Drosophila melanogaster: one gene and its partner. The protein of the gene in region 2 interacts with the protein of the main gene of each other region in a pairwise test. Each region holds a gene or a part of one and is shown on either strand. Other genes may lie near its edges.

Evidence for each region.
Region 1: the proteins of CG6836 (region 2) and CG32847 interact in a two-hybrid assay, tested with the Drosophila melanogaster proteins (one large-scale study listed by BioGRID).

Annotation. Positions count from the first base shown.
Region 1 is NT_037436.4:15,118,190-15,124,266, forward strand, and holds CG32847 (uncharacterized protein), read left to right. Parts: upstream 1-3,382; 5' UTR 3,383-3,432; coding exon 3,433-3,927; 3' UTR 3,928-4,112; downstream 4,113-6,077. Other genes in the region: Cep135 (centrosomal protein 135kDa), read left to right, coding at 1-1,117, 1,186-1,396, 1,459-1,574; CG16959 (uncharacterized protein), read right to left, coding at 2,024-2,760, 2,875-3,218, 4,435-4,865.
Region 2 is NT_037436.4:18,946,885-18,957,091, forward strand, and holds CG6836 (uncharacterized protein), read left to right. Parts: upstream 1-3,744; 5' UTR 3,745-3,830; intron 3,831-6,713; 5' UTR 6,714-6,878; coding exon 6,879-7,002; intron 7,003-7,369; coding exon 7,370-7,782; intron 7,783-7,844; coding exon 7,845-7,975; intron 7,976-8,040; coding exon 8,041-8,231; intron 8,232-8,323; coding exon 8,324-8,451; 3' UTR 8,452-8,522; downstream 8,523-10,207. UniProt on the Drosophila melanogaster protein: Probable transporter.

The DNA.
Region 1 (6,077 bases), 3.8 Mb from region 2:
CAGGAGGGCGTCCTTTAGCGGCTTTGGCCAAGGATTGCTGTTACAAGGACGTGGGCGCCCTCTCCCAGGACATCGATCTGTTGCAACGCGAGAAGAGCGATTTAATGATGCAAGTTCGAGAATTCCAGGACAAGATGCACGATGCTATGCAGCGGGCTCTAAGCTCCGAAGAGGATAAAATAAAGCTCCAAACGCAGCTGGAGGAGCTCAAGGAAGCTGCGTTGCAAGTGGAACAGCAGGCCAATGCGGAAATCGATGCCAAGGAATCGGAACTTAGGCAACTGCAGTTGGAGCTTAAGAAGAAGGGAAAGGATCACCGACTGACCGGTGGCTTTGCTTCCAATCAAAGTGACAAGCATAATCTTAATGAACGCTTAAATCTTTTGACTCGTCGTGAAGAGGAACTACAGGCCACAAATGAAAAGCATAAGAAGAAAATTCAGAAAATGCAAGCAAAGATATTAGAACTGCAGAAGGAGCTCAAAGATCAGAATAAACATTCCAACGTCACCCTGGATGAAGAGAAAATACGCCTGTCATCAGAGCGGGACTTCTTCCAGAAGGAGTATCTGCGTCTGATGAGCAAGACCGGATCCGAGTCGGAGATCGCCTTCTTGCATGCCCAAATTAAATCTAAGGACGAGGAGTTAAAGGCCCTGCGATCTGAACTGTTTCATGGAGGAAAGCAGCAATTTTCCCCACAAAAAAGTGTGCAGTATGAGACACTGCCGCCCCCCACAGCTTCATCCATTACCTCCACCGTTACTAGCAATACGAGTGACTGCGTCCAGGCGGCCATTGCAAGGGTGGAGCGGGAACGGGATTGCGCCAGGACCGAGCTAGAAAGGGTTCGTTGCGAGCGGGATACGCTGAGGGAGAAGCAACTGAGCACTGTTCAACTTCATGCCGATGAGCTACAGGCTCTGCGCCTGCGAAACGAAGAGCTTAACGATCGCCTGCGGCAAATGGAACGCGATAATCGGGAACTTAACTCGGCTCGTCTGCCAACTGAAACGAATCTGGTGCTGCTTAAGGAGGACTTGTTGCAAATGAGGCAGCGTGTGGCATCTATGCAAACCGAAATTGACCAACTAAAGACCGAAAATGATCAAATAACGTTAGTAACAATGGAATTGCTGCTAAGCTTTCATATCGTTTATAAATTTGTTATTTATTTATTGGCAGCATGCTCAACGATCAAAACGAGCGCATCATAGCGGATTATCAGAGTAAACTTTTGGTGGCCGAGCGTCAACGACAGTCGGCGGATGTTCGGGCCAGCACCTTGGACTCCAGTCGGGAATCCAATCGCAGCGAGGTTACCCAACTCCGCATGGACTTAGGAGCTCTGCGGCAGACCTATATATCGTTAGAACACGAGAAGGATACGCTTCTGGTAACTTCATTTAATAATATATTTTCTAGAGATATTAACAATATTGTTATTTGCTTCACTAGCATCAATTGGATACCAAAACTGAGCGGGTATACAAACTGGAGTATGAGCTAAAGGATTGCAAAGAAAAACGGAATGCCCTAGAGCAGAATGTGAAGGACCTGGAGGATCAATTGCGGTAAGTGTGAGAATTGTTTAGTTTGTGCTTCAGAACCCGATACCAAAGAGTTTCAGAATAATTGACCTATTTACAACTCAATTTTTCTGCTAAAATGAAAAATATGTTATATTTCATTTCTAGACTCTATATTGTTAGTCTTTCAAATTCTTTTATTTCCCTTATCGTGATTTTCCTTAAATACAACTCGTACATTAGTCGATGTAATACATTAATGGCACTGTCTCATCCTATCGAACACGTTAACCGAATATTTCTAAAAACCACCTAAAAGAGAACAAAATGGTTAATTGAATAACAAATGATCGCATCGATCAATAAACACTGAGCATGCAAACACAAAAACAAAGGGTAATGGAGGTAATATAGGGTAAATTAGGTGGGCATGCGGTGAAAGAAGAATAAAAGTCATCACAACCGGACAGAAAATAGCTTGAAGATTGGGGATTTTAGGTGGTCCCACCAAGGTGCAGATCATTGAGAAACTTCGAGTTGAGTCGCTCGTTGGTTAAATACCTCGCCAGGCTGACACTTGGAGCGCTGCAGTTGCTCATGCCGCGTTGATCCGACTCCGAGGGCGTATAACCCGGTCGGCAGACGCACTTGGCCCGACTGGCGTGGACCAAAATTGAGGTGCCATTCGTGGTTTGCGATTTCAGTGGCTCTAGCCACTGACCCGCGCCGCAGGGTCCTCGGCTATACAGCTTGTGGCACTGCCCATTGATCTCCACCATTCCGGGCGTGGACTCGCATATATTCTGTTCCTTATCCGCTCCATCTCCCGTGCACTGCTGATCCAGATTGGTGAGGACACCGGAACAACCGCACATTCCATTGTAGGAGATGCCATCGATGGATGGCCTGGCGGTGAAGTCGAAGATCACCACCTGATGTAGGGCACACGGGCCTTGAGATCCAATCCTGTAGCAAGAATCTTCCGCTGGGAAGTACAGGCGATTCTTGCCACAGAAGTTGCGCACACAGCTGGTTCCGTTGACCAGGAACTCATTGGGTCCACAGGGACCCCTTGTGTACAGGCGATAGCAGATGCCATCGCTCCAGGGCACATAGCCCTCCTTGCACTGGCACTGGGCACGAGGCAAAAGCTGCAGGGTGCTGCCCGTTGTCTCCTGGACCTCGTCGGGTATGCGAAAGATGTGACCAGGTGGACAGGGGCCAGGAGTGTCTGAAAAATAGGAGAACATTAAATACGATATAGGAGAAAATTATGTTGAGATAGAATTTCAACATTTCCAAGGCGGTAATTGCAAATTAACGGGCTATGTAATCCCAATCCTACCCAGCTCATAGCACATTTGATGCGGAGCATGATAGTGCGGCAAGTGCCGCTGGCAGTCGCATCGACCGCCGGGCAAGAAGATGTGACCCGGCGTCGAGCAGGGTCCTTTGGTGTAGTGCTCATAGCAAGACTCCTCTGCCGGATAGTAGAACGAGGCCAAGTCGCCCACATCCTCGCAACGGCACTCGGCCAGTCCCTCCTCGTTGCGAACGAGGAGTTTACCCCGGCTGCATGGACCCTTTGCATGCCTCGCATAGCACTTGTTGTCCCTCGGCCAGAAGAGCATGTCCTCCGGGCAATGCAGCGGTCGCTTGCACGTACCCCAACGGTTGCCGGTTGCGGTTCTGGAAAGGATTTGCCTATAGTTTAGTTAACTTTTAAACATTTAATTGATATATACGGCACACATCATCCTATATCAATGATCGCCTTGAAGTGAGAAAGTCTGATAGATAATTGTTGATATCACATGAACTGTTAAGATTACTTCATTTTATTTTGAGAAGACATTAGACTTAAACAAAATTACCTGCGCTAGAAACACACACATCGGAAACAATGTCGGCTGATACTTTCGTAATGGACACCAAGGATGAATCGTTCTACGAGTGTAACATATGTCTAGACACCGCCCAGAATGCCGTGGTCAGCATGTGTGGCCATTTGTTTTGCTGGCCATGTCTGTACCAATGGATATTGACGAAACCCGATCACACAGTGTGTCCCGTTTGCAAGTCGGGCGTGGATAGGAGCAAAGTAATACCGGTGTACGCACGAAATGATAAAAGGCAGGAGGATCCGCGGGATAAAACACCGCCGCGTCCAACTGGAATTTGGTCGGATTACGCAAATGATCTCGAGTTGGGACTATTTTCGTACTTGCTTTTTGGTTTATTCTTTCCATATGGTGCCCTATCATCTTATCTGGATATGGACGAGCCACTCAATCCTGCTGCTGATCACGGCATAAGGGATGGGCAGAACGAAACACTCCTTTCTAAGTTCTTTCTCTACGTGGCCATTATGCTCATTATTTATATGATTGTAATTTAGCAAGAATAGGAATAAGATCAAAATAAACCATGATGGTGCAAATGAATCAGTATAACCGGGAAGATGTCGTCCTTTACAAATTATGTTCAGTGAAGTTTTCGGATAATTAGTCATTAATCTTTTTAGTATTGTGTAGCATTATGTAAAACAAATGTAATGAAAAGTAAATATTCAAATGCACTAGGAAACAAAACTGCATTTCATGTTTTAAACACGACAGGTTGTGTCGTAAAAGTAAAAACTGTATGTGAATGTACATACATAGGTTCTTGATGAACTTTCGTTATGCATAAAAACGAGATATCAAAGTAGAATGCTTCCGTTATTGCTTAAGTGCACCAGAACTTTCTCTTAACTCTTGATTAATGTTGAAACCCGAGTTTCGCAATCGAAATCAAAAGTTTCATACGACTAGAGAACAACCTGTAAACCTTCAGTGAAGTGAAAATGCGAACATGGCAGTTGCTTAATTCAAATAGTTTGAGCTAAGAACCGAACTCAACTCACCTCTTGACCTGATCCGGCACGGGTTGGAAGTACTCCTCGGGTTGGCAGGGTCCCCGTTCGTATAGCTTGTAGCACACATTATCGTGAAGCGGACTGAGTGCAGTTCCCGGAGGGCAGCGGCACTCGGCTGCAGGTGCATCCTTACGCTTGGCACTCACTGCGGTGGGACTGAGCTCCATGGTGGCCGGACATGGATAGCCGAGGGTGAAGATCTTGAAGCACTTCTTCAGAGGTGCCCAGTACAGCAGCTGCCAGCCACCGGACATGCTGGCGCACGGATTCTGTGCGGGATCACTCCACGGAGGCGGCACTATTCCGGCTGCCACCTGCTGCGGATTCTGGCCGGTGGTCAGTAGGAGGAGCAGGCAGGTGAGGATGGAGCTGCCCGCCTGCAGAGCAGCCCAGCAGATGAGCACTTTGCGACGCCTCATGGTGAATCTGAAAATCGAAAGTGTTTGATAAGTAAACCTATCCACACATCTAATCAAGAAATAATTACAATGGAGTTTCAGAAAGCTACATTTTATAGGATTTCTAGGATGCTAAACACCATATATCAGAATTCAAAGAGCTTTATGAAAGTGTCAACAAATCATAATATCGTATTGTGCTGGACCATTATTAATCGATTTGTATAATCAATAGGTTTCGGCATTTTTGAGGTTCATTTATAACGAATCGTTTGCGTGAAAATTAACCCTTGACGTTTCGTACTGAAATGGCAAATAACTTGAATTTAAGTCATTAAATTAAATTAAATTCGAGCTAGAGTAGACTTCCCCCTGCTCTTTTCAAGAAATCGGGGGTGGAAGCTACCATTAAACCTGATGATGGATGACTTTTCCATTGTGTCCGCTGCTGTTTAAAAATCAATTCATCGCTGCACCGGCGGAGAGTTTTAAAGCGGGTCCAATTCGAATTAGCCAACCCTTTGGGGCAACTGATTATCATGTTGGCCGGACCGCAGCGCAAAAAAAAAAAAAGAAAAAAAATTGAAAACTAAAAGGCCAAAAACCCAAAACACTGAAAACCAGTAAACGGTTCGCGCGCGGTTAACCATGACCCAAATACCCATTTATCTTGACTTCTTTTCGCCTCAGCTGCCGACCGCTGGTCAGAAATCTTCTGCTATTTTCCAACTGCTGGCTAGCCGCCCATCTTATGTAACCGGCCGCAAGATGATGAAACATGTGGCAGCCACAAACAGCCAGCGAAGCGATCAACACACCGCCGCCGCCGCCGGACACGAAAGGTGCCACACTTGGGCGGTACGAATTGCGTGATTTGCGGCCCGTTTTTGGATCGCTCTGCTAACCCGGCGGTTGCATTGGCAACTGGTTTTTCATCTACGTCAGCGTTTCATTCTGGCTAACTGGGGATTCTCCGGCCCATTTACTCCACTCGAATTGGCACCTTTCGCAAGCTTGTTGTTAACACACAGAAACTGGATTTAATGTGATCACCTTTATACAAATCAATTAAGCCGCTTCAGGTGTTTCACCTTTTGCATTCGCTGATCTGGTTCCCTTGTTCAATTTATAGTGTGTTTATGATTTATCCCATTATGTTGTTAAATATTCTTGGCATTTGTTTGAATACTTTCATCTTCTGTGCACACACTAACTGGATTTTCTTTGTTCAAC
Region 2 (10,207 bases):
CGTGTTTTGCCACTGGCGATTTCGTTTCGGCCTCGTTCCAATGTTCTTACAGGCTTTCGCCTCCTTGTTTTTGTGGGTCCACAGCTCCTGTGTCATATGCAAATTCCAATTCGTGAAAAACAGACGAGGGAGGAATATGAAAGGTCGGGAGGAGCGGTGGCAGCGAGCTAGGAATATAAATATCGATTAGATAATATCAAACTAGATGGCAGGCTGACAAGGACCTTAAGGCGGCATTGAACTTGTCTCGCCGCGAGGGAGAAGGAGCGAGTGTTTCCGGTCTCTTCATCTCCCTCTCGCGCTCTCTCTCTCTCTCTTTCCACACAAACACACTCCAGCAATTGCCTTGCATGATTTAATTATTTGTAGCATACTTTTGTGCGCCGACCAAAAACTTCACACCTGAATGCACAACAAAGTGGGGGGCTCAAGTGGTTCATCGGCCGAGTGGTGCAAAACTTTTGCCACTTTTGCCACTTTTGCATTCAGGGCGCTGCAGAGCACAGAAGTTGTTGTTGAAGGACCTCCGAACCTCTGCGGTTTTCGGCCGGAGGATCCGGGTTTTTCTATGCGAGCCCGAATGTCTCAATTCATTTTACGCCACACTGCGCCCCAAGTGGAGCGCACCATGCAAAAAAGGGCTGCCGATGCGGGTTTCGGGCCACGGGTTGTGGGATACCCCTCAATCTGTAATCTTTATGGGTCTCTCACTAATGTGGTAATCAGGCATCCGTTGGATTGTTACTTAGTATATTAATAATCTTCATTAATTATTTACAACAAGTTGCAAGCAAGTTTGTATCTGTTGGATGCAGTGCTACTAACTACCAGCGTATTCAAATGATTTCCAATCACTGGGTATCCCCAATTCGACATATTCAACTTGGGTGTAAATTCTTGATCTGAATGGGTTTCGGGTCTGCCATTTGAGACGAAGAATAAAACAAAACAGAATTTGTGGAAGGGCGGCAGCAAAAGTGCAAGCAACGCAGAAAAGGACTTTGGCATCATTACAATTTGTTGATTTGCTTCGTTAAACAGCAAACAACACTGGCGAAAAGCGGGGGAGCGAAGGTGCGGACTGAAATTGAAACAACAGCGACAGTTGAATGAATCAGGGAGCATAAAGACCCGAGAAATTAACGCCAAGTCAGCCCCAAGCATCGCTCCTCATCTCGCCATCAAAGTCTTTTTGTGTTATTCAAATGGCGGCTGCATTGTTGCTTATTTGCGAAAAAGCAGCGCGAAAAAATGAGCAAAATAAGAAAATATAAGAAAATCCCAAAGGCGGCAAATAAACAGTGGCGAGAAAATGAAAACCGACAAGAAAAAGTTGCCGAGGCGCTGAATTGGCGACGTCTTCTTCAAAGGCGTCGCCTCGGGCCCCCGAATTTTATCTTTTCTTTAAAGCGCGAGCACAGTTTGCCTTTCCGCTGGCCCCACTTCTTCAAAAGGACATTCGGACGTGAAGGAGGCTGGGAGCCAAAAGGCGCTCCCTTGCTGAAGGTTGCAGGTAAGAAATGGTAGCAAGAAATCATCGCTGACAGCAAATAAGGAGTTCGGTGCGGGTTACCATGGGGTGTTCTTGGAAATTCATGAGACAGCGGTGAGATCTGTTTTACATATGCATCGTTTTCTTGGAAAGATAGACCATAAAAATGCATAGATTTTTTATAATCTGAATTTCGATTTCTCGCATGTACTAAAAGTCAAATTTAACTATAGATAACTTAAGCTTTTTTTGTTTAACGAAAAATTTCTTAAAGGTAGTATCTTTTCAACATCGAATATATGAATAGGTTTAATATTTCTATCTACATCGTATAATGAACTAACTTAACTTGCATTAAGTAAATGCAATGTTTATGCTTATATAAAGGTGGAAATTCAAAATATTTTTATTTTCGATATTATAAGAATTATATTATTAAATATTAATTAAATAATTATGTAAAGTAAATATATATATAGAAAAAAAGTGGATATTTTCTGAAATCTGTAAACTATGAGTATAAACTTGAAAGTGCATTTTGTTAAATAGAGCCCTTCATTTTTCATTAAAAATGTATATCCAGTCTTTTTACCTTCTGAATTTTTTTTGCAGGCATTTAATACTGGCCGACGTGAACACAAAATTAATTTTTCTTTGTTTACGGACACAACTTTCAAGCGTTTACATTAAACCAGTTTGCAAAAACTTTGCCTCTACCAAATGCCCCCTGTTTTCCCGTCTTTTTTCAAACTGACCATTCTCCACATTTCCCTTTCGATCTCCTGCCCTAATTGGCCTTATCACTTCTGACCCTCTTTACAAAATTAGATTTATTTGCAAATTATAAGTTGAATTGCAGCGGTCTGCCATCATAATATCTTTTTATGAGCCACCGCCGCAGAGTCTGCTATAAAAACGAACAAACTTGGCATTTTGCAGTTGCGGCATAATTAATTGCATAATTTTTGGGTTGAATAATTAGCATTTAATTTCAGATTGGTTACGTTAAGTGTGCGAGCGCAGAGAGACAGTAAAAAAGGTTAATTGGGCCGCTCATTAAATTAGTAAGCGGATGTGCCTTAGATTTACGTTTTTTGATACGTGCCTAACCCCGCCGCGGGCTGAGTTTTGGACTCGAAGTCCACTCGACTCGATGGCATTTCTAATGAGTTTAATTTGAATATCAAATTGTTTGGGGAAATTATGTTTCCCCGCCGGCTTCGATTAATATAATCGCACCCTGCATTTTTCGCTCGGGGGCGTGCAAATTAATAGCTGATTGAAGCGCCGCCATTATATACATTGTATATCGCGGTATTTATATTCCGCGACTTCAATTCCCTGAGGTCAATATCGAACACTGGAATAAGTAATTATCACCTGGTTGGACATGTTAATTGGCTTTTGGCGTGAAATCCATAAGTTCTGGACTTCTCATAAAGCTGATGGCACTTTCCTATACAAATTATCTTTCAACTTGAGTGCCCAGCGATGGCGATAAAAATTGGGTTGGCCGCACCGGAAGATAGGAGTGCAATTTTCTCAATTGCACAGTGGTCTTCAGGGCATAAAAAAAGTTAATTAAATAAAAAGAAAAATATATTCAGAGCTGATACCATAATTTATACCATTGCGAAGATCACTGCGCAATTTATGTTGAGTATTTGGAATATATATATTAGCGGTGTATATTGTATATATATAGAAAAATATATGCTTTGGGGATTATAACATTACCAATTTATATAAACTTTTATGACGTATCCAAACAAAATTGTAGTGTTTTGTAATATTGATGATCCACCCATTTCTTACCTGGTACTTTAACCTTAATGTATGTTTTTAGTTTACCCAATTGCGTGATCAAATTTTCACTCTCGATCATCAAGATATCTTTTCATTTCGCAATGGCTTACCGACGTGTTAGCAGGACCAGCCTCTTTTCGAGCTTCACTTCGGCTGTCCAAAGTAAACGCTTTTTGATCGGCAAATAGCCAACTTCCGCAGCGAGCGAGTGTTAAGAAAACTTTTCCCAGCAGCAGCGGCGTTTGCAATCGACAAATGTCGATTAGCACATCGCGTCAGCAGGTGTGTGCAGGTATTGTGGCTATTGCTACCGCTATTCTCTGTTTTGGCCCAAACGCACACACACAGCGGCTTATAGCCACTTGGCCAGCATTATAGTCAGTGGTCTGTGATGGGCGCATTCGCGTTCGTGATCAGCATGGGCACTACAATATTTTCAGTTTCATTTCAGTTGGTGAACAGCGTGCGAGCGAATAAGACACACGCGGCTAAAAAATTGCTTGAAAAGCTGAGAAAACAGGGAGTGTGAAGTGTAAGCAGCAAATAAAAATAGAGAAAAGTGCAAAATTAAACAAAATTCATTCAACCAATTGCAGTGCAAAGTATTTTTGTCGTTTATTGATTCGTAGCTCAACTCGTGATCCAACGCTAATATTCATTACGATACATTCGTGTGAACATGTAAAGAATAATTACTCTTCATTCGTTGACGGCGAGCAATCAATATGAATTAAAGACAACTCGAATTGCATCCGAGTGTAATTGAAATTCTTTAAACAATTCATTAAAGTGCAATGCCAAGGGCAAACGTAAAGTGCTGTGGTGATGGTCAAGGTTGCAGCCAAGAAAAGCTGATATCTGCTGCATCTCCTACAAACCAATTCAAACGAATAACAAATATTTGTCTTCTCCGTTGAGATAATAACTTAAACAGAAGCTGTGTACTTCCGCAAACGATTCTGCGAATTTACAAAATGTTTTTGCTTTAGCTTCATTCATGTCGAAAATATGTGACAATTGGGAGCTGAAGCATCTTATCAGACAAGTCAATTAATTACGTTTTTATCTAGATAGCTGTCATTCCTGAATGTCTTCACTTGACACATTCCCTAATGAACAGCTGATATCTTGAGTAAGCGTAGATAGGTGAATTCCTTGCATCTTCAACTCACTTTGTGCAAATTCCTCTTGCGAATTTCAGGAGGAAATCATTTGCTATGTCGACCAGAAAGCAAATTACATTTTGAGGTCTGCGTTCTGATTTTGATTTTGTCCCACAAAAATGCACTCGCATTTGCATTCGATTTTCGGTTTTATTTTGGTTTTTCAAACGTTTTCCGCTCTGCTCAATTTGTTTGCATTGCGTAAGGTCGTGTAGTTTCCCATACACTCTGACAGCACTTTGTCTCGCCAAGAAATTCGAATTTTGTTAGCCGCAAAAGCTCGGAAACATCTTGGCCAAGAGTCAGGGCCGGCCAATAGATGACAGTCAGCAAAAAAGCTGTGGGCATAAATGTGAATGAAAAAGAAATACAAAATGCCTCATTTAACAATGGTCCCACAAAAAAAAAAGTGTTGCAACATCGAAATGCAAAGCCTGGCTTGTTTTTGGCCAATGTTTACAATTCATTTCGAACATTTTGTGTAACACTGTTTTTATACCCAAAAATTGAAACATAAATAAATATTTTCTTAATGAAATTTATTTATTCTTAAATGTAACGAAAAAATTTCTATTTGCACAACTGACACTGACAATTTTTTCTCTTTACCCAAATTTGTAGCCAATTTCACAAGAGTAACATGATATTTTATGACGTTTGTTACGTTAGCACGTTTTCAAAATAGAGCTGAAATATTTTTTGTATTTGCAAAATTTAATTTGTTGTTAATGGCGTGCCAAGCCCATTTGCGATCTGTTAAAAAAAAACCACCCAAAAGTGCATATATACACCTACTATGTGCTTATACACGAATACAAATTATATATATGACGCTTATTTGCGCGATTTGTTTTACGCACCTTAGAATGTGCTAAATTCAAAAAGATTCGGCGAATGCTAATTTTTTGGTAAATGATTTATGGCTGGCTTGTAAATTGATTATGGATTTGCTCTCTTTTCGCCAGCTGATGAAATTGGATCGTCTGATTCCGGATTGTGATCACTGGCGATAAGCCGTGATTCTTCTCCATTTCCCCATCTCCGGATTACGTTGAATCGGATATAAATTGGGGTCAGATGGCGGGGACTTTGACACGTTTTTGGAGCAGATCTGAAGGCCGTTGCTGGTGCTACGAGATGTTGAATCATGTTTCAGTGTGTTTACGGGTACTTTCAACACGTAGTATGCGGCTATTACTGTGCAAAAATATGAAACCAGTTTGTAAATGGACAATAACACAGAGATTACATAATGGGCTGTGCAATGAGGCAACTCGTATAATTTGCTTTAGTATGGCCGGTCTGTTACCTGCCTACTGTCTGCTTTCGAAAACCAGTTCCTCACATGGATTTGGATTTGGTTGAGGGGAGTCGGGTCTTCTTTGGGCTTCAAAAAACTGACTGGACTCCATGGAATCGCCTCAGGCTTCGGTCACGTGCTCGTCTCCTCAGACTTGCCGATGTTTAAATGCTCTTTTATGTGCCGACTGAATGGCCAGTTGTTTTGAAATTTTTAATTGTTTTGTTTATAGTTGCATGGACGTTAAAACACTTGAAGCTAATAAGTGCAAAAAAAAGTTGGGGGAGTTGTACTATATTTCGGTATTGTAGTCATTTTCTTATTAAGGTGACCTAATAATCTGTATATATTCAGAGAAGTTTAAATTTATTTGCAGAGAATGCTTCATGCAAAATTAAATGAATTTTTTTCTAAGATATAAAGACGGAAAAATATTTTGGGATGATGATAGCCAAATTCATTTAATGAGGCTATAATTGAAAATTCTTTTGTCATGTCTACTGGGGGCTTTTATCTTGATTGATATAAAATATTATTATTTTTTTGTCACGTGACATATAAAATCCAGTGGAACTCGATTTTTATAGGTGCTTTTGAACCTTACAAGGTTACTTAAGCTTTGCAATAAAGGTTCATGAAATTATCGAAAAGTGAAAAGGCTTCGGAAAAGATGTGTCATCGTTCATATTTTTTCCATTAATTAGTTGTTGAAGCGAACTCCTGGCGATCGTGTCTAAGGGTATTAACACTTCGTCTAGACTTTTGGTTAGCAATAATCAGAAATGAAATAATATTCACATTTTATTTATTACTTCAAACAAGCCGCGTCAAATTTTAACTAGTAAGGTTCAATGCCTTCATTTGGAATCAAATCAGTTACTAACCAAAAAATACTGTTCACACTTTCACCTGAGTAGGAGAATAACCAATATCTCTATGTTTCCCCATGTAGATACATGTATGAGTGCTAATGAGGTGCAAAGTCTGCTAAGTGGCAAATTGTGAACTATGATAAAGATGTGAAGTGAAGTGCTGCAGCGTAAGCGAAGGAAACCAGGAAGTATTGCACCAACTTGCCCCAGTTTGAATTTATCACCTTAAGTATAAAAGCCGCACAATGAATGCCAGTGAGAACTATTTCACGATGGACCCCACAGAGAATATATCCCAGGTCTTAGACCAGAACAGAAACAACACAAATAGCCTGCGAACACATCCCACTGTGGAAGAGTATTATGAGAGTGAGTATATTAAAAATATATTAAAATATAAAGAAAATATAGTTATAACTTAAAAACACCAATTAAGACGTTATCTAATTTTGTTGTATATATAGCATATTAATAAAGATTAATGTGTCTTATATATTATCTACAACAATGTTCTTCCATTAAAATATTTTATTTACAAGTTTACGCCTATATGGGTATATGCAACCCCAGGTTGATACAGTCAAGATAAAAGTTCTATTGACAAAATTAAGGTTTATTCTGGTAACTGCTTCTGGTAAAAGCTTCTCATTGAAGCGTGTGTTTAATAATACTAAAATGTTACATAAGCCCCACACCCTTCTTCCAACTAATTGGATTTCTGGGAACTCACTTACAGACATGACCGCCTTCCTCAGCCTGGCCATCTTCATAGCCAGCCTGCTGACCATCCTCAACATCAGCATCTTCGCAACGACAGTCTCTCGGCTGCGTCGTCACCTGGACAAGCCGCTGCTGGGTCCCTCGATTATGATGGTGGGCCTGTATCCGATTATCTCGGTGGCTGCCCTGGTTACCATTCTGGTGCCGTACTCCTGGTTCATCTGCCATACGGTGATGCACGTTATGTTTATGGTCGGCGGACCTGTCTTCCGCACCCTGCTCTTTCGTTACGTGGGCTCGGAGCAGAATTACGTGAAGGAGACGGCCGGCGAGGCGGTGCAACTAAATACTCCTCCGTGCTGTTGCTGCTGCCTCTGCCTGCCGATGGTGATTCCCACCAAGGCGAAACTCTGCATCTCCAGATACATGGTATGTCCCAGAAATCGGATTTGCAAGGAAATATTATACTAAAAAAGGACTCACTTTCGCAGGTATGGCAAATGCCCTTCTGGCAGGGCTCCATTATGCTGGTGATGAACATCCTATACTACCGGGACATTCAGCTCTACCGGCAGGTCATGTTCTTCTTCATCCCCTTCATCGTCTGCTCCATTGTCTTGGGGTAAATATTTGATTCGTTTTTATTATTATTATAAACATACGAGCTAAGTGTTTGTTCACTAATAGCGCTTGGTCCCTCCAAATCACTGTGCGGATGATCACGAAGGTGCGCGGGGACTATCAGCTGAGAAAGAAGATGTTCTGCCTCCAACTGGTGGTGATGCTTTGCAAACTGCAGTACCTGGTACTCTATGATCAGCTGGACGGCATCAAAATGGGTGGGGAGTATCCCATTAATCACACCGTCTACAAGCAAAGTGAGTATCTTACTTCAAAGTAATTTAGATCCATCTTAATTTACTTTCTTAATAATAATATTGTTTCAACATTTCTTAACATTTTTTTACAGCTATCATCAACATCCTTATCCTGGTTGAAATGGTTCTCGTATCCATGATGGTTCAAAGTGCATATCGTACTCCCGTTCAGGTGCAAATCGATGAGGTTAACAAGGAAAAGGAAGTTACTCGCATTTGAGTGTGCCTATGAATGTTTAAGCTTGTAGGAAATAGTAAAATTGTGATAAATTTAATAAAATCATGTTAGCTAAATTTATTTTATATTTTGAACTTTCAACTGCAGTGTTCTTCAAGTAATTTCAAAAGATCACAAAATGAAGTGTTGCCTGTAAATCAAACTTAAAGGCCAAAACCATTGCGACTAAATCTCACTTGACTGGCTGGCTGGCTTAACAAAACCGCCACAAATCATGTGTTTCCAACTCGACTTGGTCAGTTCTTCAACTGGAAGCACCACAGCCACCCACTTTGGCACCACCCACGCCATCTGAAATGCGTGTCGCGTTTAGCTCATAATTCTCCCTGCGGCCTTGCGAGGGTCGAGATCCGTTTTACATTTTTCACCAGGACAAACAAAACGCTGGGCGACTTGGGCCAAATGCCCAAGTGCCATAAAAACACAATAAATATAATATGAAATATCTGAACGCATATACATCTTCCTTTCTGCTTAGATAGTCTTTTCGGATAACTCAATTGCTGTCGCAACGCGACCATAGGCCATCCAAGCTTGAAAACGCTCACTGCGAGATAGCGGGAAAATCCGTTCGTTGGGCAAAAATTATTGGTGGGCGTGGCGAAATCTGGAGCGGGAGCCACATCAAGAACAATTGTGTACTGCACGGCAATGCGTTGAAATTTATGATTTATTTGAAAAGAAAGTACATTGTGCTCTGCGCAAATAAATCACACTAAAGATCCTGCCGCCCCAGAAACCAAACAAAGTGGGAGGGAAAACCAGCATCAGGCAATTTTCGTTGTGGGAGGTGGACCAAGACCGTCGGGCAATGGAAATCAAATAAAAATCTGGGGGAGAAATATATCCAAACATACCGTATAAAATGATTTTCGGATTCGGGATATTATTTGTTCTAAATAATAAGCTTGTGTACTAGCCTTGGATTAAAAAACGCAACGCAATTTAAAAATCTAGTTTTGAATCGCCTACAATAATTAATTCTCAATTGAAGAAAAACTTATGGATTTATTAAATAATAAAACAGAAAAGTTAATATTGTTGTGCTACGGTATACGTAACGGTAAATAAATAATAAAATTAATATTTCTTATTGGTTGTGGAAATGGTAACCGAATAAATGGTAATATAGCTTCTTTAATTTTAAATTTGTATATAAACTTTTTGATTCCAAATCCTGTAAGCTAGTGCCGCCAGTCTAGGATATAAGGGGTATCAAGAGCCTGTAGCAGGATGGCGAAGGAAAAGTTGGACTGCCAGTGCTTGGAGGCGGCAAGTGCCACGGTGGGTTGTCGCTGGACATGGTTATCTTATCGCTGTTTTATGATGTACACAACGCCGCAGAACGCCAGCTATGAGCAGCCCATGGCAGCCAAAGTCCTGGGACACTTCTCCCCCGACACTCCGGTCCGCCCATCCTCTGGTTCCATCCACAGAAATCCACTCTTGGCCCGGTCGAAATGTCGTTCTTTTTATGAAGACGCTTGTTTGCTCGGCTTGCCAGCCGAGACGGCTGTCATCCTGGTGGCTCTGACTTGACTGAGGCAAGTAAATCAGATTAAGTATCCGCTGCTCATTTTGATGAGTTCATTGCGGACTTTTGATTTTATATTATTCCCTTTTTCCAGCATGTGCGAAGTGAAAACTGGTTACGAACAAGAAATGAAATGCTAAAGATGCGGCAGAAGCTAAAGCCAGCAAATTAGGTAGAGGTTTAAAATTTTTAAGAACTCATACC